7 linked regions of the Ovis aries genome follow. The protein of the gene in region 7 purifies or fractionates together with the protein of the main gene of each other region. This does not show direct contact. Links are inferred from orthologs where the notes say so. Each region holds a gene or a part of one and is shown on either strand. Other genes may lie near its edges.

Region 1 (4,376 bases), on a different chromosome or scaffold from region 7:
CGAACAGACTCTTTGCATACCATTGACTCTTGTGGGTCGTTAATGCACTTATATTCCCAGCTTGTAAGCTAACATTATAGTAAATAAATACACAGTCCGGTGGGGAGGGGAGGGATCTGGGCGGTGGGAGGGGGGGTTCCGGCGGCGGGGGCAGGCGGCGGCGGGGGGCTGCAGCGGCGGCGGGTGGGGCAGGAGGGCGCGGGGAGGAGGCAGGGCTGTGGTTACTGGTACCCGAGTGCCGAGGCAGAGGCCAGTCTCTGTCCGTACAGCGCGTACGGTGAGTAGTAGGGTCCAGCTGTGGGCAGCGACGGCACGGCCAGGCCCCCGGCTGTGGACAAGTGGCTCTTGCCGTACGGGTGGTACCGGCTTAGCCCCAAAGTGTGTGGACTCCTCAAGGACAGCGACCCCGGGCTGCCGGGGGCGGCGGGCGGGGGCAGGTGCAGGTGGCAGGAGGCAGCGGCCGCAGCGGCTGCGGCGGCGCTGCCCAGGCCCGAGGCCCCCGGGTAGGCGGCCAGAAGTTTCTCGGCGCCGGGCAGGGCCGTGTGAGTCCGCAGGTGGCTGAGCAGCTCCTCCGAGGTGGCGAAGCGCTTGTCGCACGGCCCACTGGCCGCCACCCAGTTGCAGCTGTGCGGCAGCGGTTCGTTCTGCAGCATGAAGCCGTAGGTGTAGAGCGGGTGGCCGGGGAGAGCCGCCTGGGCGGCGCTGGACGAGAGCGCGGCCGGCTGCAACGGGTGCCCCGGGTACACTAGCGGGTAGCCCCCCGCCTTCAGGCCGGGCCCGGCCGGGTCGTGCGCGCTGCACGTGGAGCAGCCCGAGCCGCCGAGGTGCGAGGCGCCGTGGTAACCTCCCAGGCAGTACGGGTCTCGGCATAATCCCTGCAGGAAGGACGGCGGGGAGGCCCCGGTGAGCGGGCTGGAGCTGGGGGGCTTGCCCGGCGGCAAGCCCAGGCCCCCCGACAGCTGGCCTCCCACGAGGCCAGACTTGCTGGGATCCAGGCCAGGCACGAACTGAGACGGGTAGCCGGCGTAGGCACCCACGATGGAGCCGTGGTAGCCGATGCTGGAGGGAGGCAGGGGGAACACCGAGTGGCCCGGCTTGTAGGGCGACACCGGTGCCACGTGGCCGGCCCCCACCAGCGCGGAGGGCGGCTCCGACTTGCGCCCGGAGGCCCCGGGCTCGCCGCCGCCGCCACCGCCGTGCGGGCCGGGGTCCCCGCTGCTGCCACGGCTCACGGCCGCCGGCTCCGGGCTGGGCTTGGACTCCTGGTCTTTCTTGTCCAGCTCCCCGCTGGCCCCGGTCTTGCAGTCAGAGTGGTGCGGGGAGCCGCCCCGGGAACCGCCAGGGGAGGACGAGGACGACGGCGCGGAGACCGGCGCTCCATGCGGGGGGAAGGGCGTGCAGGCGGCGCTGGGCACCCTGAAGCCCGCCTTGTCTCCCGGGGACAAGGAGGAGGAGCTGGAGGAGCTGGAGGACACAGAGGAGGAGCCGCTGTCCTTGCGGGAGTCGCCGCCCCCGGAACCCTTGGAATAGGGCTTGAAGCTGGACTTGTCTTCGGCCGGGGAGTCCCCCAGCTGCTTGAGTGCCGCAGAGGCCGAGGCGGCGCCCGAGGCCGAGCGGCCGGGGTCCTTCTCCGCTCCCAGCCCGTTGGCCGCCGCTACCGAGTTGAGCTTGGACGAGGGCGGCGGGTCCGGCTTGCCGATCTGCGAGCAAGTCTGGGCCAGCAACGCCAAAGGACTCTTCTTGGCGTCCAGCTGTGGGAGACAGCGGCAAGGGGAGGGAGAAGGGGATGAGACCAGGGACCCACGGAGCGGCCGGGGGGAGGGGGTTTACCTGGGGGGCAGGGTGGGTGAGATGGGAAAGGAGGGCCTCGGGGAGACCTGCTGCGAGCGCGGGGGCTGAGCGCAACTGCGCTTACACTGCGCGTTGGTAGTGGTGGGATCCTTCGCTGCCCCGGGTCCCGGAGGGCGCCGCAGGCCCTGGGGAACGGGCCGTGGAAGGCGTCCACCGAAGACCATCCCGGGGGAAGGTGACTTCTCTGGAGTCGGGGCTGGGGGAGGGGCCGTGACTCGCCCCCTGCTCTCTCATCTCCTCCTCCTCTCTAGGCCTGGGTTAAAAACTTATGCCTTCAGTTTGGGGAACTTCGCTTGGGACGGGTTTCTGGCGGTGTCGCCGCGGGGTGGGAGCAGGGGAGAAGCTGGAGCTTGAGCCTGGGCGGCCGCAGGCGCTCTCTTCGGAGCCCCCTTCCCTCCCGGGGAGGGCCCCCAGGGGAGCGGGAGAAAGAAGGAGCCGGGGTCGGGAGTGCCCGGGCGTCGTGCGCTCCAACCGGATGGGGCAGAAGCGGAGTGGGACGGGGAGGGAGGGGGGCGATCGGGCTTCAAAGAGAACAAACCTGGGTGGAGAGGTGGGGGTGGGGGGGGGGGGGGGCCGAAAAAAGCCCAGGAGACAGACTCTATGGCCTGGGGACTGGGTGCCGAGGAAAAGTAAAGGGCCCAGTGGACACTCCAAGAGCAAATCCAATCCGAGAGAGGAAACGCGAAGCTCCGAAGGGCGAGCGTGGAAGGGGAACCTTCTCCCCCGGGGAGAAGCCCGGAGGAGAGAACCCAGTGGGCTCCGATCCCTCTGTATCTCCGTCCCTCCTCTCACTCCGTCGGCCACTGGGGCCGGACCCGAGCGTCGCACCGAGCCGCGGGGCACAGGGAGCCGGGCAGTGGTGGGCGGAATGGGGCGGGCGCTCGGCGGGCAGCGACCAGGGGACTGACCTCGATGGGGCTCACGGGCGTGGAGGACAGCGGCTGCAGGTACTCCGGGTGCAGGAGGTGGCCGGTGTGAGCGCTCAGCATCTTCAGGACCCGGATGGGGAGCCGGTTCGCCTGGCGCAAGGGGTCCGCCGGGGGCAAGAGGGACACCGCCGCCGGCCTCTTCCCGCCGCCGCCGCTGCCGCTGCCGCTGCTCTCGGGTGTCCTTGGGTTAGATCCAGCGGGCGAATCGCTCATTTGGAGGAGGCAGCGCCGCTGGGGGGGCGGGGAGGGCGGGGGCGCACCGGGGAGGCGAGCTCCCGGGGCGGGTGGGCTCGCTCCGCAGCTCCGAGTGCGCTGCAGCGGTCGCCGCGTCTCCACCCCTCCTCCTCCTCCGCCGCCGCCGCCGCCGCCGCTGGCCCCGGCGAGCAACACAAAAACCTTCGCCTTCCGCGAGCCGCACGTCAAATAGCCGCGATCGGCAGCCACACTTCAAAGGGATCGCCGCGCCCGCCCAATCGCCGATCTCGCCGGGACCCCGGGGCGGGGAGAGCGCCCGGCGCAGCCGGTGGGCGGGGAGAACCTTAAAGGGGCCGCGCCCGCTAGCCGCCGCGCCGCGGCCTGGCCCCACCGCCGGCCTCCTCCCCTGCCCCCAACCGGGCCGGCCCGGGCCCCGGCGTCCCGGCGAGATCAGGGCTTCCCCGGGGACCCTGGGCTCTGCGCCCTGCCCTCCGCGGGCTTTCCTGTCGCTCTGCGCTCTCTCCCTTCGCACGGCTGGGGTGGGGTGGGGTGGTGCTGGTCGGGGAAGGGGGACAGGTCACCCGCAGTCCATGTGTCTCTGGGGTGGGGTGAATTGGGTGGGCTGGGGGATGGGGTAGGAGCCCCTGGCGGCCGGCTCCGGGACTGCCAAGTCCCAGCCGCTCCCGGAGGCCGCCTGGGGGCGGGCCGCTCCTCCAGAACCCCAGCTCGGCTCGGGTTTTCAGCTCTTTCCCCCCCAATTGGCTTCCTCCCGGGTGTGCTCACTAGGAAGCGCCCGAACCTCGGAGGCAGCCACGGTTCTTGCGACGCGGCGAAAACCGCTCCAGCAACTTTGAGCCAGCCCTGTCCGCAACCTGCAAGTTTGAGGACTCCCCTTCCGGGGTGAGATGGTCTCGATAAGGCGCGGTCACCGCTTGTGGTGCACGCCGCCGGGACGCGCCTGGCGCCCGGTGCCTGCGCACCGATTTATAGGTTCGATGCTTGGGTGTGTTCCGGGTTTCTTACGGCGTGCTGCTTAAGGGCACACAATTCTCTCATGGCACCGCGCCTGACTGCTGTTTCAGGGGTAGCGGGTGGGTAGGGACGTGGAGGGGTTTGCATCCTAGAAGAGGCGGGTCTCTGTAAACACTGCACGTCGTTGTAAGCGCCAGAGATTCGGCCCCTCCACGCCCCGCCCCCCTTTTCTTCTCGAGGGGGAAGATGCCCTAGGTTTTCCCAAGGGAATTTCGGAGTTAAAAACTTTTAAATGAAAATAACAGTATCCCCCTGTCTCCTTCCTCCCGTGCCTTTCAGATAAAGTATGCATTGCCAGCTTCGCACCCGACAGAGATTTCACATAGTCCCTGTCCTGGCGTTAGAGTTCCCCGTCCGCTGATCAGAGGG
Region 2 (3,932 bases), on a different chromosome or scaffold from region 7:
CCGAAGGAAAAACAGTAGCTATGCACTGGAGGCACCACCTTAACCAAGTGATCACCAATCAAAGGAAATATTCATATAACCAAAGAAAGTATCAAAAATTAAAGCAAAAAGAAAAAGGTAATCCTTAAAACAGCAGTGTCAAAACTGAAATGAACTCATAAAGTTGTGCTATATCCACACAGAGAAATAAAGTATTTCAAGTGGCTTTTCTTGGGGTTTTTCTGTGTGTGTGTGTGTGTGTGTGTGTAATGTAGTCTAAGGACAAAAAGAATTGCATGGAAATAAACATAGTTTCATAACATACTTTATATATGTTGAAAATTCATGTATACCGTGTAAGCAAACAAGGTTTTCATTGTAAGAGAAAAAGAAATACAAGCATAAAATTAAAGATCCTATAATATTAAATTAGACCCTTACAAATTACCAAAAGAGAATTAAAGTAGTAATTTCACAGTGGAGAAAAAGACTGCTGTAAGACCAGTTTGCACCAATTTCAATTTCCTGAACTTGATAACTAGGTCCTGTGTCGTGGTTAGGTAAAAGAATTGTTTTTAGGAAATATACACTGAAGTACTAAGTAGTAAAGGCCAGAATGTGTACAACTTACTATCATGTTGTTTGGGACAAAAACAATACACACACATACACACACATATAATGAGAGATCCCCACCCCAGTTATGTATTTTCTAATTCTGCTCTCTGAAGAGACCTAGAAACAACGACAAACCAAGCAATGAGATGTGGTTTTGTAAGAAAATGTCTATCCTTTTAGAGAGATGCGTACGGAAGTTCTTGGGGGTAAAATGGCAAGATGTCTGGAATTAACTTCAAAAATACTTCAAAGGAACAAACAAGGAGCTATGAAGCAAACACTACAAATCTTAGCAAGTGTTGACTCTGGCGGTGATGTGGGTCCCACGCACATTGTGCTCCATGTGTGTATCTGAAGCTTCTCAACATTTTTTCCAATGAACCATGCAGGGCAATATCAACGATTTAAAAAATATATATTAAGAATTATTCAGGCATGGCATTTAGCCACTCTCTTCTCTCCGGACATGACAGGTCTGACTCAGTCACAGTAAGGTCTGTCTTCCCTGACAGGGCTATGGGGAAAGGCATTTGCCACATAAGGATGGGGACCATGGATTCAAAGACTGGGGCCCATCCTACTGCACACCTGAGCTTTGGGGACCATCCATTCACACACAGAGGCAGGCAAGGCTGTTTGTCTACCCACACTCTGGTTTACCTTTATTGAGGATGGTGAGAGGCTTCCGGTTGCTGGGGTCCAGGCTACTGGGAGCAATTGAAAACCTCGGTGGAATGGTGAGGCAGGTGATGGGGAGGCGGGCAGGGATATAGCCGGAAGTGAAAAACTCGTCATTGAGCAGCTCGTGAATGGTTGGACGGGCACTGGGATCTGGCTGAAGCATCTTCTTGATGAGAGAGGAGGCCACGGGGTTGATGTGCTGGAGGGAAGGTGGGGAGTCATAAGCAGGATATGACACAGGACCAACCCAGCTGCTGCACCACCACCCACTACCCGGCCCCAAATACACCATGTTCAGTGGCTATAAACGTCCCAAGTTTCCACTGGCAGCTTTACTAAGTTGACAAGTTGCTCACCACTAGAACAGCACTTGAAAACAAAGGCTTGGAAGTCATAAAGGCCTGGTGTAAGTCCCAGTTCTGTCCCTCAGCACCAGCTGTGCCAACCAACCCAACTTTCTGGGCCTTTGTATCTTCATCTATAAAGTGGGGACACAGCACCAAGCTTGGAGCCCTGGCAAGGAGACCCAACCCAGGGTAGGTCAAATGCACAGTAAAGCCTAGCATCAACTTTGTACTTACTATCTACCAGCAAAATATTGTAAGCACTTCGTGTAGATGAACTCACTTAACCCTCAGAGAAACACCCAAGGACTGAAGCTCTCTAGTACCATCCCTCTTTAGCAGATGAGGAAATAGGCACAGAGAAGTCAAGTGCCTAAGATACATCCCGAGTGAGTGGTGGAGCCAGCACCCACACCGAGGCAGTCAGGTGCAACCCCCACACTGGGAACCGCTCTACTCGGCCCAATAATTGACCCTCTGTAACGGATTCAGCCCATCCATCCTGATGGAGACAGGGCTCTTGGCTTCACATAAGACAAAGATGCCAAACTGTGGAAGCAGCTGTGTGCCAGACTGCTGCCAACTATCCCTCTCAATGCACTCTTGCTGGGGGCTGCAAAAGCACGCCACTTCGCCTTCACGGTGGTTCGAGATTCTGTGAGCGCTCGCTGTGTGCAAGATGCTCTGGGGCAGGGACTCCACTTTACAGATGGGAAACTGCAGCTCAGAAGACTCAGGCCATTTGTCCATTGTGATCTGGCTAAAAAGTGGCAGAGCCCATCTGAACCAAGACAGTCCACAGCCAGGCTAAGCAGCACTTCTCCGTCTGCCCCTACTCTGGCTCTTTCTCTCTGTTTTTCACGTCTTTTGGGTTATCTCCCCAACGGATGAAAGCCTGCAAACTCTCATCCCAAGAAAAACTGTTTCTGTACACATACATCAGCCTCTGTATGCAATTTCAGACAGGACCCTCTAAAGCTGTTACACTTACCCATGGGGTGGCACTGACCCATCTCTTTCCCCCGGAAATGGCTGGGCTCTGTAAATCACTTGGTGGGGGAGGGAATTAAATAAAACAAATGTAAACTTAAAGTGGTTTTAGTCACCTTGGGAATACTGTATTCATTGTTCTTGATCCGGAGGTAGGTCTCTTTTAGGCAAGAGGTCTCAAAAGGTGGCTTGCCCACTAACAAGGTATACCTGTAAGCACAAGGAGGGATTTGGCTCAAGGCTCCCAACCAAAACCCAGATGCAGGGAGGAATCCTCTCAGGGCCAGAAAGGAAGTCAGACATCTTTTGGGCATTCACTGTGACTCTGGGGCCCCAGAGGACAATTCACAAGTTCACTAAGCAGCCCCAGGAGCCACGACACTGGCAGGGAGGTACCCTCAGTAGAATACAGGTGATGAAACTGGGTTCTAATGGACCAGTGACTTTTTAGCTATAGCCTGCGGTAATCTAGGGGCCAGAGGCTGCCAGCTAACATGGAACAGGTCCAAGCAGGGGTCACTTTCCTTGAGGCAGCCCCACAGTTAATAGTTCTGTACTTTAGGCTGCAAGTTTTCATGTGGGAAATTCCAAGGCAAAGAAGTAGGAAAGCCATTTCTAACTCTCCAGTATCCAGGGAAACAACAAAAGGGGTAACACCTGAACAGGCCCAACTCTCTGCCCACCACCCACCTCTGATGGCCTTGACCCAGACAGACCACAGGACCTCCTCCTGCCAGCACCACTCCTGGCCTAATTCTTCCCACCCAATGCTGCTTTTTAGATCAGTGGTTCTAATACTTTATTGTGCATAGAAATCACTCAAGGGTCTTAATACAGATTGTGATCCAGTTAGTCTGGGTCTTGAGATTCTGCGTAACAAGTTCCTACGTGATGCTGCAGCTGGTCTGCCGTACTTTGAATAGCAAGGGATTAGAGCAAGTTTGTGGAGACATTCCCTCCCTCATTCCCTGAACCCACAGCCCAGGCTGCAGGAATCCTACAGGATATACCAATTCAGCAATGAGGGTTCCTTCAGAGACCATCTGTCCTCTGGAACAGTCTTTCCAAAGGCGGAAAGGTCTGCAGGATAAAGCCTGCCAAGTGAGATGTCCAGAAAGCCCCTTGCTGAGACTGGTGGGTCCTGAGACAACTCCCAACTTACATGATGCACCCAATGGACCATACGTCCACCTCGAAACTGTGCCCTTTCTTGCTCAGCACCTCAGGAGCTATGTAATTAGGAGTCCCGCACAGGGTCTTCTTCCGTTCCCCGTCATACTCCACTTTGGTTGCCAGTCCAAAATCCCCTGGGACAGAGGG
Region 3 (4,732 bases), on a different chromosome or scaffold from region 7:
TCACAGCCTCTTCACCTATCAACTGCTACATTCAGTCTCTTCAAAAAGGACTTAAACTTTGGCTGAGTAGGAGGTACTGGTAGCGATGGAGACTTAATAAAAGGTGATTTTCTCTTCCTGAAGAGGAAATATAGCACTATCAATATCTTTTCCCCCAGCGACCTGTTTCCTCCCTCCCAGAAAGGTTTAAAGAAAGTGGTCCAGCTTTTTGTCCGACATCTTAGCGAGGCGGCAGTGGTTGCAGCTGCTCTCCGGGCTTCGCTATGCCGCCCAAGGACGACAAGAAGAAGAAAGATGCCGGAAAGTCGGCCAAGAAAGACAAAGATCCAGTGAACAAATCTGGGGGCAAGGCCAAAAAGAAGAAGTGGTCCAAAGGCAAAGTTCGGGACAAGCTCAATAACCTAGTCTTGTTTGACAAAGCAACATATGACAAACTCTGTAAAGAAGTTCCCAACTATAAACTTATAACTCCAGCTGTGGTCTCTGAGAGACTGAAGATTCGTGGTTCCCTGGCCAGAGCAGCCCTTCAGGAACTCCTTAGTAAAGGACTTATTAAACTGGTTTCAAAGCACAGAGCTCAAGTGATTTACACCAGAAACACCAAGGGTGGAGATGCCCCAGCTGCTGGTGAAGATGCATGAACAGGTCCCACCAGCTGTACATTTTGAAAAATAAAACTTTATTAAATCAAAAAAAAAAAAAAAGAAAGTGGTCCAGCTGTAACCACCGTACTTTCCCTTCTCCCCCCTCCCCCACGCAAGCAACTGAACCGCCTATGATGTCATAATCACAATCCCATTACCTCATCCTGCTGGGGGTGGGGGCATAAAGAGAGGAGAAGGAGTGAACAGCCCTGGGCCCTCGTCGGATTTACAGTATTTTGAGTGACAGCTAACTACACAAACAAGTGGGAACGGCCCGCAACCGTTACAGGTCCTGGGTTTATAAGGTTCGAGCCGATCCGGCAGCTGGAAGAGGGGCTCCTGGGACTCAGAGCAGGCCCTAATCGGAGCTTGGACTACGCCTCCCAGAAGCCTTCACGACGCGGACGGGTCCTCTGCTGGGGGAAGGGGAATTCCTTCAGAGCGGAGGCCTTAGAGAGTGGGGGCAGGAGAACAGGTGAGAGGAACCCTGGCTAATTCCATTACGCTGCCGGAATCGAGTTGGGGGCTGTACATGGGCTGATGTAGTAACAGAGGGCGGGAGCAATGGCTTTGTTTACCTTCGACCAACACGGCCTCCCCCGCGAGTTTCGAGATTTGCGTTCGACTGGCCCAGTCCACCTTCCGCAATATTCTGTAGGGGGTGACTTCCTAGGGAGGAAACCACCCTCATCGCTAAATTAAAAAGCCCGGCCTCTTTCCGACGGCGCTATCCAAGAGAGACTTTGCGAGAAAAACGACGCGGGGCTCAAGCCTCCGCGGACGGTTCAGGGGGGGTTCTCCCAACCCGAGCGATCGCTCCACTCTCCTCAGGGACCCGTTGGTTCACGCCGGCGCCTTTTAAGGGCACCGTGGGGCGAACCGAGCGCTCAGAGCTGCTCCGGCCGCGGCCCTGGGAACTGGAGGAGCCGCGGTAGGTGGCGGAGGGCAGGTGGCGCTGGGGCCTCGGGGCGGGCACCTAGACCGTCCCTCCCTCCTTCCCTCTTTCCCCTCCCCCAGCCCGTCCGCCCGCGAGGCAGGGCCTCGCTGGCCGCCTCCGCGGGGAGAGCACGGGACCCGGTGGGGGAGGGGGTGGCGGAGTGTTAAGTCCCAGACCCTCTCGTCCCCTGTGTCCTGAGTTCGCTTCCCCGCGGCCAGATGATGGGAGCTGATTGGGAACAGGCGAGCGACAGCCCCCCTGAGCGTGCCGTGGCGCCCTCCCCCCCCACCCCAAGGGGCTAGCGGACGCCCCATGCCCCACCCCGCGGGGACGGGCAGAGCAACCGATGGAGAGGTTGAAGATTGGAGAGGGGGGCCTAGCCTTTTGCTTCTTCATTGGGGTGGGGGGAGGGGTGCTCCCACTTGTCACTCCTATGCCCACCGGTGCCATATGGAGAAAAAGCACTCAGGTCCCCACATACCTGTTCGTGTGCCTCTCTGCCTCATGTTTTTCTTCAGTCTCCCCCAGAGTGTGGGACTGGGACCTAGGGGGAAGGTCTCCAGGGGCTTTTGACTCTCTTCTTCCTTGGCCTGACTTGATCCTAGGTTATCCAGGTTTCAGCACAACCTCAGCATCCCTGAAACCCTTATGTCAGGGGTTACTGCCACCCAGTGGGGTGGGGGTCCAACCTTTATTTGAGGGACAGGTGATGGTGCAGAGAAAGCCTGGATTGAGAGTTGGGCCTGGTGGGGTTTGAGGGAGGGCCTAGCGGCCTGCTGCTCTGTGTTGGGCTTAGCCCCATGCCAGTTGTTAAGCTGAGAAGTTTTAACTTGTTTAGTGAACGTTCAGGGCTGTCTGTGCCCCTCAGATACACAAAATGGAAGGGGAAGGAAGACGGCAAGAGAGGGCTTCTTACTCTTTTTTCTCTGCCTGCCTGAGAAAGAGGAGGCCCCTCGCGGAGCTGGTTTGCCTTCTTTTGTGTCCTGGTTTGATTCCTTATGGCTTCCGTTCTGTTCCCCCTCTCAGCCTGGCCTGTTTTAGGAAACTCAGACTGAAAGTATCAGTTGCGTGGTGGTAGTTGCATTGTTCTAATTACCGCCGTGTGTGGCCACATCCCAACAATTAAAATGCAGAAAAACACAAAATCACTCTCTTGATCCCAGAGAGGGCTGGAAGTTTGCTATTTGGCCAAATGCCTCATGAAAACCTTGAAAGAGTTTGCTTCATTCCGTGCTCCTCATGGCTGGTCAGCCTGAGGCCTGGGGTCTCTGGGGGTAAAAGCCTGCCTTAGGTTTCCTCTCTGGTTGGTCTTTGAGGGCAGAGTTAAGAAACCAAGAGCAGAAGTGATACAAGCTTTAGCTTCTACAAGAATGGGGGAAGCAGCCGAAGGGAGCGCTCAAGAGCGCTCAGGAAACTGGGACTTCAGGGTGGTAATAATAATTATGCATGAAAACATTATTTGACTATAGTGGTGGTTGACTTCTGCCTCTTTTTTGCCTAAACTCCAAGTACATCGAAGTGTGTTTCTTTGCTTTTCCTTGTGGTCTGCCTCCCTCTGAGGTGGAAATCTAGTAGAGAGGATTTCCCCCCCTCCACCTTTTTTTTTGGCCAGGGTTGAAAGTTATCTGCCCTCAAGGTCAAGCCTTTTGGGCTTTTCTTGGCATGTGAGTGAGGGAGGTTGATACTCAGCCAAATAAATCAACCCAATTGCCTTCTTCATCTTAATATTATCACTTGTAGCACCCTGAGGCTTTGTAGAGCAACAAATAGGAAGGGTGAGAAATGGCAGTCTGTGTGGACTTCTGATTTGTTCAGGCCAAGTGGTATACTTCTTATGTTTTGATATTTTGCATTACATTATCCCTGTGACAGATTAAGATTATTCTGCCCGTTTTTCATATGGGTAAACTGAGGGAAAGAAAAGTTTGATGATTTGCCAAGACCATCACAGCAAATCGGATCCAGATTTGATGTCTTGATAGTTTGTTCTCTCTGCTAGCAAATGCTACTTACTCTGTCTGATTGCTGTCTGCCTGCTGGTCATTTCTGGGAATAGGCAGAACAGTATGGAAATGTTAGATTAACTTCCCCTCCTCCGTTGATTGAGGTCCCTCAGGCAATTGTGTGGGCTTGAAGCCTGTTTTCTGATAGAATTAGTTTGCTTCTACTGTAATTGACCGTGAGAAAGAGTCTTGATTAATTGTATTCATGGTCTTTGAGTCAAATCAGGCTAAAAACTTAGTTGAATGAAGTTAGAGTTGTTGTTTTTAACACCTATAGAGTTGAAATGTGAATGGAATTACCCTGGTAGCATTTTCTTGTCTTCATATAAGAGAATATGTACAGTATCTGTTGGAGAACAATAATGTAATATCCGCTGTTGAGGGTGAAGGAGAATATAATACCTTGTTTACTCTGCTTTGAAGTAGAAAGTCATTCCTACAGCCACTGCACTGTTGCTATTTCTGTAGTTTAGGAAAAGGCTACCTCTCCTTGCTTTTGACTGGAAGATAAAATATTGGACTAATCAAGAAGGATATAACAATGTGGGCATTTCTCTCATTTGAGCTGTTTTCTAAGTGGTGCTGGTATTTTGGGTAGGCAGAGCAGAGCATGAACCAGGTTAGGAGTGGCAAATAGGTTTCAACTTGCTTGCTAACTCCATTTTATTATACTGGTTATCCGGAGTGCCAAGTTGAGACTGTTTCCGAGGCTATGTTTAGGCTTAGCCGGAAAGAGCTGTGATCAGTTAATGATGTGTGCCAGAGGCCTGACATAGGGATGCTGGGGTATGTGTGCCATGCATTTTCCATCTCTGGAGTAGGTACATCTCTAATATCACTTGGGGCTGATCCATCTGTAATTGGCAGACTCAGCAGGCATGACTGGAAAGGGAAGTCCCAATGGTGCTAGAATGGTGCTGCAGTGGCAGAAGACAGCTCATGAGTGAGGTCTGGAAGAACAACAGGGAAGACATCCATCATTTGCTCCAAAGTGTGCAAGTCAAATCCTGGGGAGAATCATGATAACCCTGATCACTGAGCAGCTACAGAAGCAGACTCTGGATGAGCTGAAATGCACACGCTTCAGCATCAGTCTGGTAAAAGACAGTCTTCCCACTTCTCTAAGACCCCCTTGCCCTTTTTTCTGA
Region 4 (4,596 bases), on a different chromosome or scaffold from region 7:
TTTTAGTGGGTGTAACAATCCGGGAAGACCTAGGAAATAACTACTGTTTGCTTTGGATGATACACTTGGCTACCATTAAAAGACTGTATAATCATAGCCTAACTGTAGACTTCAAATTTTAACAGATTTATCTAAAGTTTCAAAATTTGTACCGTTGGATGTAACTAAAACTAGCTTATGGCAGACTTCGTAGCAGTTAACACGGAGCTAATATGAAATCTGAATCCGCTTTAAAAATCGCTCGGATATCACCATCCTCCTCAGTTACCATTTATAGCCAAGAAAGAGGTTTTCATTTTATCTGTTTCCAAGAAATCAAAGGAATTATTTTGTAGACAGTTTAGACTTTTGTCTAAATGTATGAATACCGACAAGTTAGCGCTCTCCTTTCTCTTCCTGAGCAGCTCTCTCTCTCCACGACACTCCCCCACCCTACCCCCGCCTTAATTCCTGTTTCACAAAGTAAATCTAGGGACTCGGTTCCGGGCTTGAGGGAGATTTCTCAGCACTGACACACCGGCTGGAGGAAAAGAAGGGAGGGGAGAAGTAAACGCGACAGGGAAGCCAGAAGAAAGGTCTAAAATCATTAACATGTAAATGGTGCTTTTTCCATTCCAAAGCACCTTATCGCCAGACGCCCTCAGGGACTAGCAGGGTTCGTGACGCCGCGCTGGGTAGCTCGGGCTCCGCGGGGGTGGGGGCGGAGGGAACCCGACAGGCAGCCCGACCCTGCGGGGAAGAGGGACGTGCAGCCAGAGGCATAGGGCTCGGGGAGGGTCAGAACCTGGCGGAGGATGACAGCAGCCAGCACTTCCTGGTTCCTTCCCCAAACATGCTGTGGTCCTGCGTTATCTGCCTTTCCCAAAGACAGCGGAGGAAAAAAAATTTATAACGATTCACCTCGACCACCCACCCCACCCCCCCGACCCCGCTGCCCGGTCCTTTCGGTCTCCCTCTAGCTGGGGGCGGAACAGTGGGTGAAGAGGGTGTCCCAAACCTGTGATTTCAGGTTTTGAACACGATATTCCAGAAACTTCTGTTTTATTTGTAGCACGATCTGGGGGTGGGCAGAAGATGAGGAAAGCTTTTTTTATATATAAACTTGGGTTCTGGGTCCGCGGCATCACGTCAGCTGAACATTGGGTTTCTCTTGCTTTGCAGCAGGCGACCGTCCCGGGCGCCACCTGCGCGTCCCGCGCGGAGTGGAGGCGGGGGCGAGGGTAGGTAGGTCCGCGCCCGGGTTCCCCGACGCCCACTGCAACGGGCACGCGAATGACAGACTGCAGGCCCTCTGGCTTGCGCCCCCTTCAACGCACCGTCCATCAAAGCTCGAATTGCAATTCCCTTAGGGCGAGCGCCGGCCGAGCCGGGCCGAGATTGCGGCGGAGAGGAAGCGGAGCTCTGCCACCGAGGCTCCTCCTCTCGCCGGTGCAGCCCGGGACTACCTGGCGGCGCGGCGGGTGAGGCGCGCGAACCCCAGCGCGCCCCCGCAGCGGCCACCTCGGCTGCCCGCGTGCGGGGCTGAGCTAAGAGTCCGCTCCCCACCGAAACCTGCGGCCCGCCGTCCTCCCCCCACTGAACCCAGCGCGCCCGCCCGTCCGTCAGTCCCGGCCGGGCGCCCGAAGGGCCGCGCTCACGCAGTTGGCGTAGCCAGCCCTACGCTAGAGGCGCAGAGCCCGCCCCCCGCCCCCTGCACTCTCCCCGCCCCCTCCCTCCCTCGCAGGGGCCGAGCGAATGTAGCCCGCGAGAGAAAATGGCGGCGGCGGCGGGGAATCGCGCCTCGTCCTCGGGATTCCCGGGCGCCGGGGCGGCGAGCCCCGAAGCGGGCGGCGGCAGAGGGGCCCTCAAGGCGAGCAGCGCGCCCGCGGCAGCCGCGGGGCTGCTGCGGGAGGCGGGCAGTGGGGGCCGTGAGCGGGCGGACTGGAGGCGGCGGCAGCTGCGCAAAGTGCGGAGTGTGGAGCTGGACCAGCTGCCCGAGCAGCCGCTTTTCCTCGCCGCCTCGCCGCCGTCCTCCTCCACTTCCCCGTCGCCGGAGCCCCCGGACGCGGCGGCGGGCGGGAGCGGTTTCCATCCTGTGGCGGTGCCGCCGCCCCACGGAGCCGCGAGCCGCGGTGGCGCCCACCCTGCCGAGCCGGCGGCCGCACCGGACAGCGGCGCCCAGAGCCCCGCGGGGGCCGAGCCGGGGGAGAAGCGGACGCCCGCCGCCGAGCCGACTGCGGCGGCCCCGGCCGGGTAAGCAGCGCGGCCGGGGAGCGGCGGGGACTTGGGGGGCGGGCGGGCTATTGCAATGAATGAACCCCGGCATCGCGCAGGACGTCCCGGGGCTCCGCAAAGCAAGGCTGCGCGCGGCTATCCGGGACCCGAGCTCTCGGGCACCCTCTTTGACCCTTCCAGCTTCGGGCGGCGCCCCGGACCTGGCCTGGGGGACCGGACGGGGGCCCGGGGCGGGGACGTGCTGGAGAGTTTGTTATTGTTTGCAGACATGTGACAGGCGTGCGAGCCGCGCTGCTTGGACTAGTTGAGATAAGGTGTGGGGGGCCGGGCTGGCTTTGTGGGGCTCCTGGAATCGGGGCTCTCCGAGGAGCCCCGGAACGGGACCCTGGCGCTGCCCTCCGGGTCAGGCTGGAAGAGGCGAGCAGCAGTGCGGCGGCGGCGACCCCGGACCTGAGTCCCGGGGCGCGCGGGGGTGAGGCCTGAGCCTGCGGGCGGGCAGTGTAGGTGGGCGAAGCAGGTGGGCAGCCCTGCCCGAGACCGGGTTGGAGGGCCGGAGGGCGGCGGCGCAGAAAGCGGTGGGGTCCCCGGGGCGGTGACAGGCAGAGCTTCCAGGCAGGTACCGGAGGCCGGGCCGGAACGGAGGCGGCGCGCCCCGAGCGCGGCCGCAGGGGGTTCCGGGTGGACGGCTCCGTAACGCCTGTCAAAGCGGTGCAGGGTGACGGGCTGCAAGCTCTCGGGGGCTTGCGGGGTATTAGGACGGAGAGTTTTCTAATCGCGTCCCCCAAGGGACTCCTAGTGTCCTGGGGAATACAGACCGCAGCACGGAGACTTGAGTGACTTCTGTTTGGAGTTTGAATTTGGCCTTTGAAGTTTGCATTTGGCGGAGTGGTGTAAGAGCCAGGACCGGATGTGTCAGCCATTCAGTTGCAAAGCGGTAGTGCCTACTCCCCGCAGCCTCTCCGGAGTGGTTGGGGACCGCGGCGCGGGTGCGGTGCTTCCTGCTCCCTGCAGCTGCGCGGGCCGCCTCGGGATTCCAGGGGACCCAGTGCGGTGTGCTCCGGGGCCCTGGGCTGCCTGCGCGTTACGGTATGTGCAAGGTAACTCAGGCCAGCTGTTCCTGGCCTGGCTCTTTTTTGGCAACTAGAAATTTGTGTTTAAGGAAATTATTTTAAATGTGACAGCCATAGTCCTTGTTTTTGTTTGCTTTAAAATCTAACTAGTGTATGCAGAGCACAGGTTTGAGGGGTATTTTGAGTTGCTGGAAATGTTGTGATAGTCACCCGTTTCCCTGTAGGGCTTCCTGACCTTTATTCTGAATGTTTTAGAGACTGCCTTGTAGTGGTTTCCCTTGTGAAACGAATTTGACAGTAGGAATCATTGGCTTTCGTTAATTATCTGGTGATTTGGCACTTTTGGGGGCAACTTGATTCTATGTTTAAAACCGCAGTTTGTTGATTGCTACTTAGAAGTTGGCCCCTCTCTTTCCCCACCTCTCGGGGGAGGGGACCCTAAAAATGTGGTCAGCAGTGTGCCATGTTGAGAGGAACAGGGACTTGTGACTGTGCTGGTTTTCTGTGTGCACTTGTACATGTAGCTTAGTCTTACAAGGGTTATGTTTCTCTCTCTACACTACTGCTTCTTTGCAAATTGCATTAGAACTTGACTGGAATGATTCGTTGTAGGCGATTGTTACTACAAGTGAGGTCCAGTTAAAGATATTAAACCCTGAATTTGAGAGGTGAATTTTGTCTTATTCCCATGATACCAAGTTTTTGGATGCAGTAAATAATTTAGCAAGCCTCAGCATTCTAGGCATCTTAACGAGCTATGAATATAATAGAAGAGGAACCACTGTAAAATTAATGTATAGATGTTTAGTGTTGTCTCCACACAAAATAAGAGGACGAAAGTGAAAGCAGATAGAATTCAGGGAGTGAGTAATCCATGTTTAATTTTTGCATTTTATAACCTAGTTTTCCCCCTCCCCTTTTCTGAAAGGGTGGATTATAATTGCACAGTATATGAAATAATAGACTAATCGGCAAAATCATTTTTTAAAATGAATTTCGCTGGCCAGAATGCTGTTTGTTCATCCCAAATGTTATACATAAACATTTCATTTATAGTAAAATATTTATTTTCTCTACTTTTGAAATAGTGAGTTTTTTCCATATTTCCTTGTTCATGGGGTTGAAATTCATTTGAGACCGTTGGTATAAGCACTTTGACTGTAAGGAGGAAAATTGCAATTGAACTTTAGTTTTTGGATAATAGTTACATTCATACTTTAGAAGGATCATCTAACATCAAGATTTTGAAATATTTTTATGTTTCAGTAGTACTGTACATCTTTAAGACCTGTCATATTTTTTTAAAGAGAAT
Region 5 (3,932 bases), on a different chromosome or scaffold from region 7:
TGCTCAGCCACCTGACCTACTAATACTAAGGACCCTGCCCAACTCTGATCAACTACGTATATAGGTTTGATGGTGGCGCCTTAAAGGCAGTGCCAGAATCCTTTCAAGATGGGCCCAGCCTGAGCTCTCTGATGTTAATCTCACACCCCCACATGCTCCACTGACATAAAATACCTATATGTACAAAAACTGGGGACAAAACACCTACGTGCAACAGTTCTCTTTGCCAACTCCAGCATCCCCAGAATACAAAACCAAGCTTACTTTCTTCTGAATAAGAAACCTCCCCCACCAGCTCTCTTCAGTCCTCAACCAGGGAAGGGAAAGAAATGGGAGACCACCTTAAAGAACCTTCTAAGTCCTAGTCTGGCCCTTTGCCAGAAAGAGGAAAGGACTCACTCTTGGTCTGGGCAGAAAAGGTACTGGTAAGTTTGGCGAAAAGTTCACTGTTCTCAAATCGGTCCTCCTTCACCTTTGTCCAGAAGCAGTCCTGGGAAAGGTCCTCAGCGACAAACTGTAGATACAGGCAGGTGTTAAGAGTTACTAAGCCGAGCTCTGTACTTCCCATCCTAGAAAACTGACTGAGATGCAAAAGCAGCAGCTGGCTGTGCTATCAACATCTTACTAGAGTGAGACTAACCTGGGGCACAGAGAACAGCTATGCTCTTTGTGGTGGACCAGATGATGATTCCAGCTTGTGTGCTTAGTGGCGTTTATTCAGAAACTAGACTCAGATATGCTGCTTATCCTCCTTCTAACCCCAAATCCTCTACTTTTAGAAGCAATAAGGCTTTATTTTACATCTTCCCTTGCTTTACATTACACTTTCCCCATCAATGTGGCTAAATGTACCAAATTCGTTCATTTTATGAACAAGTTCCTTTATTTTCACTTGGTTTCCAAAAGCAAAGGACTGATATAGAATCGTAAGGGTCTCAAATACATACCATACCTGTGCAATCATATCCTGTGTAACTCATTTACTGGATGGGCAGAGGTGGTAGGGGGCTGTATCCATAAATCTATGACTTTTGGATGAGTAAAATTATCAGTACCTTGCAGATCAGTGAAATGACTATTATCAAACTATGCAGTATCATGGCACTCATATCCTCAGTAAAAAGGGCAAAAAACATTAACTGTAGGATAAGTTTAGGTTTTCTAGCAGAGTACAGGCTCCAAGAACTCTCCCAAGTGATATCTGGCATGTAGGGTATGTCTATTATCTGCTGAATAAACATATGCATGAGTGGAACTTGAAGACACACAGACGTGAACCATAAGAAAGGGAAGTCCAACCATGCACAAAACACAAGGTAGGAAGCTGAAGGGTTTTTTTTCTTAATCTACTAATGAAGAGACGGACAGAAATTCTCACCTTGGACCAGTTTGGCCTCCGGAGCTGCACCTCTGGCTTGTAAAGTTTCTTTGGGGTTAATCCAAATGGCAGAACTGGGGCTGCAGGAACTCCAAAAGGGAGAGGTGGAGGAATGCCAGGGCCTCCAGGAAATGGAGGGGGTGGAGGGATTCCACCAGGAAGAGGGGGAGGGGGAGGTAGCATTCCTGGTCCTCCAGGCAAGGGAGGAGGGGGTGGGGGAAGACCAGGACCTCCAGGCAGGGGAGGAGGGGGTGGGGGGATGCCAGGACCTCCAGGCAGGGGAGGAGGGGGGGGGGATGCCAGGACCTCCAGGCAGGGGAGGAGGGGGTGGGGGGAGGCCAGGACCTCCAGGCAGGGGAGGAGGGGGTGGGGGGAGGCCAGGACCTCCAGGCAGGGGAGGAGGGGGTGGGGGGAGGCCAGGACCTCCAGGCAGGGGAGGAGGGGGTGGGGGGATGCCAGGACCTCCAGGAAGGGGAGGAGGTGGGGGGATGCCAGGACCTCCAGGCAAAGGGGCAGGAGGAGGTGGGAGGATGCCACCACCTCCAGGCAAAGGGGGAGGAGGGGGGATGCTAGGACCCCCAGGTGGGGAGATGAAAGCACACCCAGGTAGAGGAGGAGCAGGAGGTGGTGGAGGAAGACTGACACTGGCCTCAGGAAGAGGGGGTGTGGGGACTGATAAGGGGGGTATAACGGGCCCAGAGTCGCCAGGTAAAGAAGGGGCAGGGGTAACAGTAGCACTGCTAGGAGGGGCTACAGCAGTAACTGCAGCAGAGAGAGAAGCCACTTCTTTCTTGGCATCTTCCAGTTCCTTGGACAGCTTGGCGACCTGTGGAAATACCACCAAGAGGAATATGTCTCATTCCACTTCAGGGACCACTGGAAAGAACCTAAGAAATTACTTGATCCAAACTTCTCATTTTACACATGAAGGGAGTGAAAACAGTGAGTTGATAGGCTCCACCTAAAGTCACAGAGCTACTTAGCAACAGAGACAAAACTAGAATTCAGGTATTCATGTTCTTAGTTCAGTATGCTTTGCATTAAGAAGGCAACTTCAAAGTTTATGTTAAATTCTCCCTTTGATGAGAAATTGCAAAGATCAAGCAAACTAAATATTCTAGTTATATAATTAACATGTGTTATAAATGTAGTACTATAACCACATAAAGTGATCAAGTTATCAGGTATCACAGATCATATAAATATCTATAACTGCAGAGAGAGTATGTAGGCATAGATCTGTCCAGAGATGACTAAAGTAAGAAAAAATTAGTAAACAGAACAGTTTATTTAGTATTTACTCCTAAAGGTACTAAAATATTTCTAAATTACTAGAAATATTATCTTTATCTCTGAGTAGTTCTGTGACTCATTTTATTCTTTGTGTTATGTATTCTCCAAATTGTCTATCTTATGTATTACTTATTCCCAAAACAGTTCATGATTTAAAGAATATGCATCACCTAACTAGATTACCTATTAGTAACTGAACTCTTCCAAGTTGTGAGATGACAGAGTCCTGCTCCCACACAGGCTCACCCTGAAGCTGCTGATGGCAGTCACAGGTCACTCTGCCTTCCCTGTTGGGACATTACCTCTCCTGTGAGCTGAGACACTTCTGCTTCCAGGTCCTGCTTCTCTGTGGCAATTTTTTGCTTTTCAGAATCCAATGAATCCTTTTCTCCCTGAATATCCTGGAGCTTCTGCTCAAAGTCACTTTCCATCTTTTTCATTTCCACCTGGAGCTCATGCCGAGCTGTTAACTCAGAGTCCAGCTAGAAGAGAAAGAAATCAGGTTCTCCCTCTCAGCAAAAGCCCAGTGTTATTCCCCATAATTTACTGTTTTGTGTTAATCCTTTATCTGTTGAGCTCACTGACCCAAGGAATGCCTAGGAAAACAGGCCACCATGATTTTGACCTTAAAATCAAGGTTAAAGGAGGGGGAAGCCAGGGATTATTTCCACAGACTATCTATAATTGGGAGTGGTTTTAAAAAAAAGCCACCGCCACCAAGATTTTAAGGACATTTAACCAGGGCAGCTAAGGTGCACAATGCCAACAGTCTCAAGGATCAGAGTTATCAACAATAGGAGCCCTTAATCAAAGAGAAAAAGAATTCAGACATATTCCAGTTCCTATTATTCTATGGCTAAGAGGCCTGAGACATCAAGCAAACCCAAGTGCTGACAACATTATATGAGAGTGCCACCTGTCTTCCTCCTGCTCGGGGGCCCATGAACTGTGCAAACTCACAACTGACCAGCTCTTCATGATCACATCTATACCACGATCACACTTTCTCCACTGAGTAACCTATACCAGAAAGGTTTCCCCAAGGAACTGCTACTGTGTGCTGAACGCTTCCAAAATATCATGGGTAACTATGTCACATGTTGGAAAAATCACAACCCTTAAACAAAGAAAGAAAGATATAGCTCAATTATTTTTGATCTCTCATACATACCTTTTTTTCCAGCTCTGTAGCTTTGGCTTCTGATTTCTCCACCTTTGTTTTATCAATCATTTGGTCTAAAAAGAAAGCAAAGAGTCAGGA
Region 6 (2,899 bases), on a different chromosome or scaffold from region 7:
GCCCCGTCAATGTCCGTCAGCCACTGAAGCTGTTACCCACACCAGCCCACCTGCATCTTCAGCTCCTGGAGGTTGGGGGTTCTGCTGGGGTGGGGTCCATAAGGAGTCGACACGGGTGGCTTCCCAGGCCCCTCCTGCAACCTTATACCACTCTCCTGGTCAAATAACCGGACTGCAATCTGCTCCTGCCACATGGGAGGAGAGGGGCCACATGAGGAAGCCAGGCTGGGCTAAGAAGACTAGTGTGAGCCCCACCCTCACGAGGAAGGAATCAGGTCCTTAACTGAGTGTCCCCAGACTTGGATTAGAAGAGGCAACAGAGAAGCAGGGAGAGTTGGAGGGTTAGGCAGCTTTTTCTTAAGAGCCCACCTGCCTCAAAAATGCTGGGCCTGACATCAACAGGACAGAATCAGGTATCTCAGGATGGCGAAGTTCAGATACTTACCCAGGGCAGGGCGGGCTCTTCAGGGCAAGGTTGAGGGGAGAGGCCACTCAACCCTCGGGCCTGGGTCAGAAGTGAGATGCCATGACTCTCCCTGCACCCATCCATCACCCTCTTCCTCCCCCAGTCCTGGCCTAGGCCTGTGACCTCCCCTGCCCTCTCTTACCTGCTGAACTCTGGAGGCTGATGGGAGCGGTGTGAACTGGGTTTTGGGGCGGGTGGCGAGACGCCGCAACACTGAATATGAGATCTGGGGAGAGACGGGGGTGGCTGAGCAGGGACAGATCGAGACCCAGCAGGGATCCCAGCCAGACTGTTCTGCCCTTGCCCAGACCCCGGTAGCTACAGATACAAACTGGAGCTGAGGGGCCAGGGGATGGTACACGCTGAGCCCGTCCAAAGGGTGATGGCCGGGTGATGGCAAGTGGCACTGCTTGGCCAGGGGAGGGCATCAGGCAGGAGTCACAGCCGTCCTGTGGAGAAGAACCAGGTGGAAGAGTGATCCCTCCCACTTGGCACTGCCCTGTCTTGTTCTCACTTCAGCAGCCAGTGTGATTCTTTAAGAGCTAATCAAACCATGTCCCTCCCTTGGTCATCCCCCTCCCCATGGCTTTCCACTCATTCCAAGTCATAGCCAAGGTCTTATGCTGGTTTACAAACCCTTACCCAACCCAATCCTGTCATTGCTCTAACCTCTCACTTCCTCTCCTTCTTATTCTGCTTTAGCCTTGCTTTTTTGCTGATCCTTAAGCATACCAGGTAGACCCCCTGTGTACATCTGAAGTTCTCATGTCCTGGAACGTTCTTCCCTCAGATATCTGCGGGGCTCACTCCCTCAACTCTTTCTGCTCTTCACGTAGCCACACCTCAGGGATACTCGCTTGACCCTTGAAACTGCAATACCACCCACTCCCTCCAGTTCTCCTTCCCTTATAGTATCTTGGGGGCTTCCCTCGTAGCTGAGACAGTAAAAAATCTGCCTGCAATGCAGGAGACCCAGGTTCGATCCCTGGGTTGGGAAGATCCCCTGGAAGAGGGCATGGCTACCTACTCTAGTATTCTTGCCTGGAAAATCAATGGACAGAGGAGCCTGGCAGGTTGTAGTCCATGGAATTGCAAACAGTTGGACATGACTGAGCAACTAACAATCTAGTACCTTACTTTTTTTTTTTTAACAGATAATTTATAACCATCTGACATACTATATATTTTATATGATTATTTATTTTCTGTCTCCCCTTCTAGAATGTGAACTTATTTCCTATTGTATATCCAGAATCTAGAACAGTGCTTGGCACACAGTAGCTGGTCAATAAACCCTTGCGTGTGGAGGAAATGAATGAGCTGTCAGATCTGTCTCACTCTCAGCACTGACCTGATGGTGACCTAAATATGTATCAGACTGTGACCTCTGGAGGCCTCCAGGGGCCAGTGCCACTCTGGAGAGGGCTTGGGTCCATCTAGGACAAACAAGGACCCAATGAACATGCTGAGATCCAAGCAGGGACTGTTTGGCTGTACCCACAATCCTCAGTGCTGCTGGGGAATCCCTCATGTACATCCTCTGCCCCTTCCCCCATCCCAGGAGGGTCCCATCTCACCCTGGTGTGGGTTTTATCTCGGGTTTCTTTTAGTGGTACCCGCTGGGCCAGGCCGAGGGGGCCGCCTCCTCCTTCATCTGACTGAGTGACAACTTCATGTTCCCCTTCAGGGAGAGAAGAAGCTAGGAGGAGACAGGAAATTTGCTGTAGTGTCTGAAACACACATCAAAGTCTGGCACATGGTGTTGCAACCTCCAGAAAGCGTACGCCAGTTTGACAGCCACTACTGCACCATCAAGGCTGGGGACCCATCCAGTACTCCTTTGAACCCAGCACTATCTCAGTTCAGTTCAGTTCAGTCGCTCAGTCGTGTCCGACTCTTTGCGACCTCATGAATCGCAGCACGCCAGGCCTCCCTGTCCATCACCATCTCCCGGAGATCACTCAGACTCACATCCATCGAGTCCGTGATGCCATCCAGCCATCTCATCCTCTGTCGTCCCCTTCTCCTCCTGCCCCCAGTCCCTCCCAGCATCAGAGTCTTTCCAATGAGTCAAGACTTCGCATGAGGTGGCCAAAGTACTGGAGTTTCAACTTTAGCATCATTCCTTCCAAAGAAATCCCAGGGCTGATCTCCTTCAGAATGGACTGGTTGGATCTCCTTGCAGTCCAAGGGACCCTCAAGAGTCTTCTCCGACACCACAGTTCAAAAGCATCAATTCTTCAGTGCTCAGCCTTCTTCACAGTCCAACTCTCACATCCATACATGACCACAGGAAAAACCATAGCCTTGACTAGACGGACCTTAGTTGGCAAAAGTAATGTCTCTGCTTTTGAATATACTATCTAGGTTGGTCAAAACTTTTCTTCCAAGGAGTAAGCGTCTTTTAATTTCATGGCTGCAGTCACCATCTGC
Region 7 (3,932 bases):
AGAGGGAAAACTGCCTGTTTGTCTACTCGGCACCAGAAGCATGAATGATTTGGTTGACTTTTTAGATACTGCTTTTCTTGGCTCTGAGTCCAGCTCTCTATGTATTACAAGTTCTCGACACACGGCCCTTACTCTAGGTCAGGTTTTCTCAGTTTCGGCACTCCTGACATTGGGGTGGGGCAACGCTGTGCTGTGTGTTACGGGGAGTGGTCCTGGGCACCACAGGCCTCCAACTCCCAGACACTAGGAGCACCACCCCTTCTTGCACCCCCCACCCCCTCCGAAGTTGGGACAATCCAAAACGGCTCCAGGTGGATCCAAAAATCCTCTGGGGAGAAAACTGCCATCAGCTGAGAACCGCTCTCCTGGATCCACTAAGCCGGGCTGGAGCGGAGTGGCAGGGCCTAGGTTAGCCCGAAGTGGGGTTCTCACCTCCATTCCATCCATAGCCATAGTGGCCAAGTAGTTGGGGTCCTGCTTGTTCCAGCAGAGGCGCAGCAGTGGGTGATGCTGTGGGTCTTCGTAAATGATGGTGCTGTGTTCTAGGTGACGGAGGTCAAACATCCGCACCGAGCCATCAGCACCCACAGAGGCGAACATGTCCCTGCCACCCCCTGCCCGGCTAAATGCAATGTCGTAGACCTGTTGGTGAGTAAGAAGCAACTGTCAGATTCAGGTCAGTTACCTCCTTTTCATATCACAGGGAAACCTACTGTCCCCTGGTTCATCTAAACCCCTGCTCATGACTTAGAAGGAGGTAAATAAAGCCACACCACGCCTGCGAGGACTGGAAACTGAGGGTGCTAACACCAACGATTTCCCAAACAGTGACGACCATCCTACAGTGGAAGCTGGTAGGCTTCCTCTCACTTGCTGCCTTCCAAGTATTCTTCCTCCACCTCCCGCGGTAACACAGCACACACCCTGCTGACCAACAGAGCACAGATAACTCAGCAAGTATTCTATCCGGTCGGCTTGGACAGGCTCAATGAAGCCAGAACCAGTGGCTGTCTCCTGCCGCTCTGTTACGAGACTTGAGACATTTATTTCCTGGCCCTTGTGGCTTTCATCTATGTACAATCAGAGCAGTCCATGACCACAGGAAGGCTGAGGTCATCGACTGGAGAGGCAGAAGTGGCCCTCCTCTGACCACAGTTCTGCTGTGAAACCTGGACCTGAGACCCATGTGCAAGAAAGAGGTAAGAGCCCCTCTGAATCATGGGAGGCTCGGGTATTCCTTTATTTACAAAGAGGGTTAATATTGCTCTCCTAGGAAATGCTGTTTCTCCTAGTTGGTTTGTGTTCATAAGTATAACAACTTAGGTTTTGAATTATTTTCTTCTGCATTTATTCAGTTCAGTTCAGTCACTCAGTCGTGTCCGATTCTTTGCGACCCCATGAATCGCAGCACACCAGGCCTCCCTGTCCATCACCAACTCCTGGAGTTCACTCAGACTCGCGTCCATCGAGTCAGTGATGCCATCCAGCCATCTCATCCTCTGTCATCCCCTTCTCCTCCTGCCCCCAATCCCTCCCAGCATCAGAGTCTTTTGCAATGAGTCAACTCTTCGCATGCATTTATTACCTGCTGCAAACTTTGTATTGCACTAACGTCTATGAGAAAACAGGCAGAGAGCAACAGAGGGCTTCAGAGAAAGAAAGGGACAAAGAGAGACCGACAAAGCCAGAGCCAGACAAGCGGAGAGAGAAAAAAAGAAAAACAAAATGTTGAACAACAAAAAACAAAAATGCCAAACAAAACCCATCTCCTGGGGTCAAGGACTGTAAGAGCTGACTTCTGGGGAGACATGAGTGGAACCTGTCCCTCACACTGTGACTCCAGCCTTCCTGAGGTTCTACCTTCCGGGGGACACTGACTAACAAGCATCTGTTTCAAATCAACATCATAAATTGCCCTTCCTCTGGCTGACAATGAAGAAATTGCACTTCCCTCTCTACGGTGGGAACGAGGAGTGGTTCAGCAGGAAACTAGGCTGGCCATTCCAAGACCCGACAGACCTAGGCACTGGCCGGCACTGTTTATCCACACGTGCACCCACAGCTGGCGCTCTGACTCCCAGGCACAGGGACACCACGGCAGCATCACTAAGCAATAAGGTGCCCACGGGCAGTACAGCCAAGCGTGTAGAGCCACTCTGACTGCTCCTTCCTCTGTGTTCCACCCACATATTTCATCAGAAGCCAAGAGCGGGCGACAACTCCCAGACACACGCTACCCTCCTCTGCACCAACCCGCCAGCAGCAATGAGAACCTCCGAGCAAGTCTGTACTTCAACAGAGATGCGGACAGAGAAAAATCAAAGGTGCTGGGAGGTGTCATGTTTCTCTCCGGACAACCATCCTGAGGTTCATTTCTTTGAGGCCAGGGTGTTGGTTCAGGGCCTGCTGGCTGTTAAACTCGCTGTTCTTCTTGCCCAGACGCCCTCACTGCGGCCAGTGTGGCTCCTCAGCTTTACCATCATCTTTACCATCATCTGGCATCTTTACCATCATCTGGCACCCCATTCCAGTACTCTTGCCTGGAAAATCCCATGGATGGAGGAGACTGGTGGGCTGCAGTCCATGGGTTTGCTAAGAGTCGGACACGACTGAGCGACTTCACTTTCACTTTTCACTTTCATGCACTGGAGAAGGAAATGGCAACCCACTCCAGTGTTCTTGCCTGGAGAATCCCAGGGACGGGGGAGCCTGGTGGGCTGCCGTCTCTGGGGTCGCACATAGTCGGACACGACTGACGCGACTTAGCAGCAGCAGCAGCAGCAGCAGCTGTGTGAGCCATCTCCTCATTAAATCCCCTCAGGTTAAACATGCGGAGTAGCTCTAGTTTTCCGGGTTGGACCCTGACAGAGAACACATGCTAAGTGTCACAGAACCAAAATGTAGCAACTTGCTCCACTGGGTGCCAGGACGTCCTTCCTGGCGTTCCCGGCAGGTCAAGCTCTCTTTCTCTGCCCCTTGTTTCATGGTGACCCAGTCAAGCAGACTTTAACAGATCTCGGCGCTGGGAGCACAGAAAGCTGAAGGATGACCTCTCACTAAGAATGATAATCTAGTCACCAACTTCTGTGGACAACCTCACAGCTCTCACCTAATGTCTACGCATCCTTTTAATCTGTACAGACATTAACACTCCTCGCTGCACAGGAGTTGGAGGGAAAAGGAAACACTACCCACAGGAGACATCCTGTGATTTCCCTGGTGGAGGACCAGCACGTGGTGGCTCTGGGAGTTAAAAGATTTATGACCATTTTACAAAACCACTCAGAAGAAGGCTCTGTAAATACAATTAGAGCTCACTCCCTTCAGCTCTTCCAATACACATAGGAGAAACATCACCATCAAAGTTAACCATATTCAATTCCAAATAGTATTACACATATAAGTATTAAGTGAACATACTAGAAATTCATAAAACAAGTTTACAGAAGAGTTAATCAATTAGTTTTGTCTGCCAGGAAATTCCCCCTCTTCTTGCCTTCCTGCTCCCAAAAAAGTAAACATACTTCAAGGTAAGTGTTACCCTAAAATTATAAGATTATTTTTTAATCACATCAGGTCCAAGTTTGCCTCTAAGAGAGTCTGTTATTAAAAACCAGCAATCTCTGGCACAAAAAGAAAAACAACAGACTACAGAATAAGTTGTTTATATGTTCATATAAACATACTGTTTTCCACTGTTTTGACATACTACTGCTCTCAATTTAGATGAGAAGACATCAGCGTTATATAATGATCTTCCACGTCACTTGCAAAAAAGGAAAATAATGATCTTCCACGTCACTTGCAAAAAAGGAAGACAACGGTCTGACCTCACACTAAGGCAAAGAAAGCACCTGCAGAGCAGCATCAGTACCTCTTTGTCATGGGCGATGAGCTGGGTCTTCACGTGGCCAGACACGAGATTCACTCGC

The links.
Region 1: the proteins of DCAF7 (region 7) and ZNF703 purify together in Homo sapiens (co-immunoprecipitation; 5 studies listed by BioGRID and IntAct, counting the BioPlex papers as one, with this or other methods). This does not show direct contact. The link is inferred for Ovis aries from reciprocal best matches to the Homo sapiens genes DCAF7 and ZNF703.
Region 2: the proteins of DCAF7 (region 7) and PLK1 purify together in Homo sapiens (affinity purification with mass spectrometry; 3 studies listed by BioGRID and IntAct, with this or other methods). This does not show direct contact. The link is inferred for Ovis aries from reciprocal best matches to the Homo sapiens genes DCAF7 and PLK1.
Region 3: the proteins of DCAF7 (region 7) and FAM53C purify together in Homo sapiens (affinity purification with mass spectrometry; 3 studies listed by BioGRID and IntAct, counting the BioPlex papers as one, with this or other methods). This does not show direct contact. The link is inferred for Ovis aries from reciprocal best matches to the Homo sapiens genes DCAF7 and FAM53C.
Region 4: the proteins of DCAF7 (region 7) and MAP3K1 purify together in Homo sapiens (affinity purification with mass spectrometry; 3 studies listed by BioGRID and IntAct, with this or other methods). This does not show direct contact. The link is inferred for Ovis aries from reciprocal best matches to the Homo sapiens genes DCAF7 and MAP3K1.
Region 5: the proteins of DCAF7 (region 7) and DIAPH1 purify together in Homo sapiens (affinity purification with mass spectrometry; 5 studies listed by BioGRID and IntAct, counting the BioPlex papers as one, with this or other methods). This does not show direct contact. The link is inferred for Ovis aries from reciprocal best matches to the Homo sapiens genes DCAF7 and DIAPH1.
Region 6: the proteins of DCAF7 (region 7) and TROAP purify together in Homo sapiens (affinity purification with mass spectrometry; 3 studies listed by BioGRID and IntAct, counting the BioPlex papers as one, with this or other methods). This does not show direct contact. The link is inferred for Ovis aries from reciprocal best matches to the Homo sapiens genes DCAF7 and TROAP.

The regions. Positions count from the first base shown.
Region 1 is NC_056079.1:32,067,929-32,072,304, reverse strand, and holds the start of ZNF703 (zinc finger protein 703), read right to left. Parts: upstream 3,178-4,376; 5' UTR 2,994-3,177; coding exon 2,760-2,993; intron 1,752-2,759; coding exon 222-1,751; 3' UTR 1-221. UniProt on the Homo sapiens protein: Transcriptional corepressor which does not bind directly to DNA and may regulate transcription through recruitment of histone deacetylases to gene promoters. Regulates cell adhesion, migration and proliferation.
Region 2 is NC_056077.1:21,884,602-21,888,533, reverse strand, and holds part of PLK1 (serine/threonine-protein kinase PLK1), read right to left. Parts: intron 3,920-3,932; coding exon 3,775-3,919; intron 2,823-3,774; coding exon 2,729-2,822; intron 1,478-2,728; coding exon 1,258-1,477; intron 1-1,257. UniProt on the Homo sapiens protein: Serine/threonine-protein kinase that performs several important functions throughout M phase of the cell cycle, including the regulation of centrosome maturation and spindle assembly, the removal of cohesins from chromosome arms, the inactivation of anaphase-promoting complex/cyclosome (APC/C) inhibitors, and the regulation of mitotic exit and cytokinesis.
Region 3 is NC_056058.1:47,406,698-47,411,429, forward strand, and holds the start of FAM53C (protein FAM53C), read left to right. Parts: upstream 1-1,533; 5' UTR 1,534-1,575; intron 1,576-4,451; 5' UTR 4,452-4,603; coding exon 4,604-4,681; exon of another isoform or gene 4,682-4,732. Other genes in the region: small ribosomal subunit protein eS25, read left to right, coding at 264-641.
Region 4 is NC_056069.1:22,595,563-22,600,158, reverse strand, and holds the start of MAP3K1 (mitogen-activated protein kinase kinase kinase 1), read left to right. Parts: upstream 1-1,728; 5' UTR 1,729-1,753; coding exon 1,754-2,232; intron 2,233-2,497; exon of another isoform or gene 2,498-2,686; intron 2,687-2,904; exon of another isoform or gene 2,905-3,121; coding exon of another isoform or gene 3,122-3,300; intron 3,301-4,596. UniProt on the Homo sapiens protein: Component of a protein kinase signal transduction cascade. Activates the ERK and JNK kinase pathways by phosphorylation of MAP2K1 and MAP2K4. May phosphorylate the MAPK8/JNK1 kinase.
Region 5 is NC_056058.1:50,322,784-50,326,715, forward strand, and holds part of DIAPH1 (protein diaphanous homolog 1), read right to left. Parts: intron 3,908-3,932; coding exon 3,843-3,907; intron 3,154-3,842; coding exon 2,974-3,153; intron 2,205-2,973; coding exon 1,685-2,204; intron 1,648-1,684; coding exon 1,379-1,647; intron 515-1,378; coding exon 400-514; intron 1-399. UniProt on the Homo sapiens protein: Actin nucleation and elongation factor required for the assembly of F-actin structures, such as actin cables and stress fibers. Binds to the barbed end of the actin filament and slows down actin polymerization and depolymerization.
Region 6 is NC_056056.1:136,908,973-136,911,871, forward strand, and holds part of TROAP (tastin), read right to left. Parts: intron 2,166-2,899; coding exon 2,044-2,165; intron 916-2,043; coding exon 799-915; intron 693-798; coding exon 609-692; intron 506-608; coding exon 446-505; intron 186-445; coding exon 51-185; intron 1-50. UniProt on the Homo sapiens protein: Could be involved with bystin and trophinin in a cell adhesion molecule complex that mediates an initial attachment of the blastocyst to uterine epithelial cells at the time of the embryo implantation.
Region 7 is NC_056064.1:47,617,979-47,621,910, reverse strand, and holds part of DCAF7 (DDB1- and CUL4-associated factor 7), read right to left. Parts: coding exon 3,875-3,932; intron 643-3,874; coding exon 433-642; intron 1-432. UniProt on the Homo sapiens protein: Involved in craniofacial development. Acts upstream of the EDN1 pathway and is required for formation of the upper jaw equivalent, the palatoquadrate. The activity required for EDN1 pathway function differs between the first and second arches.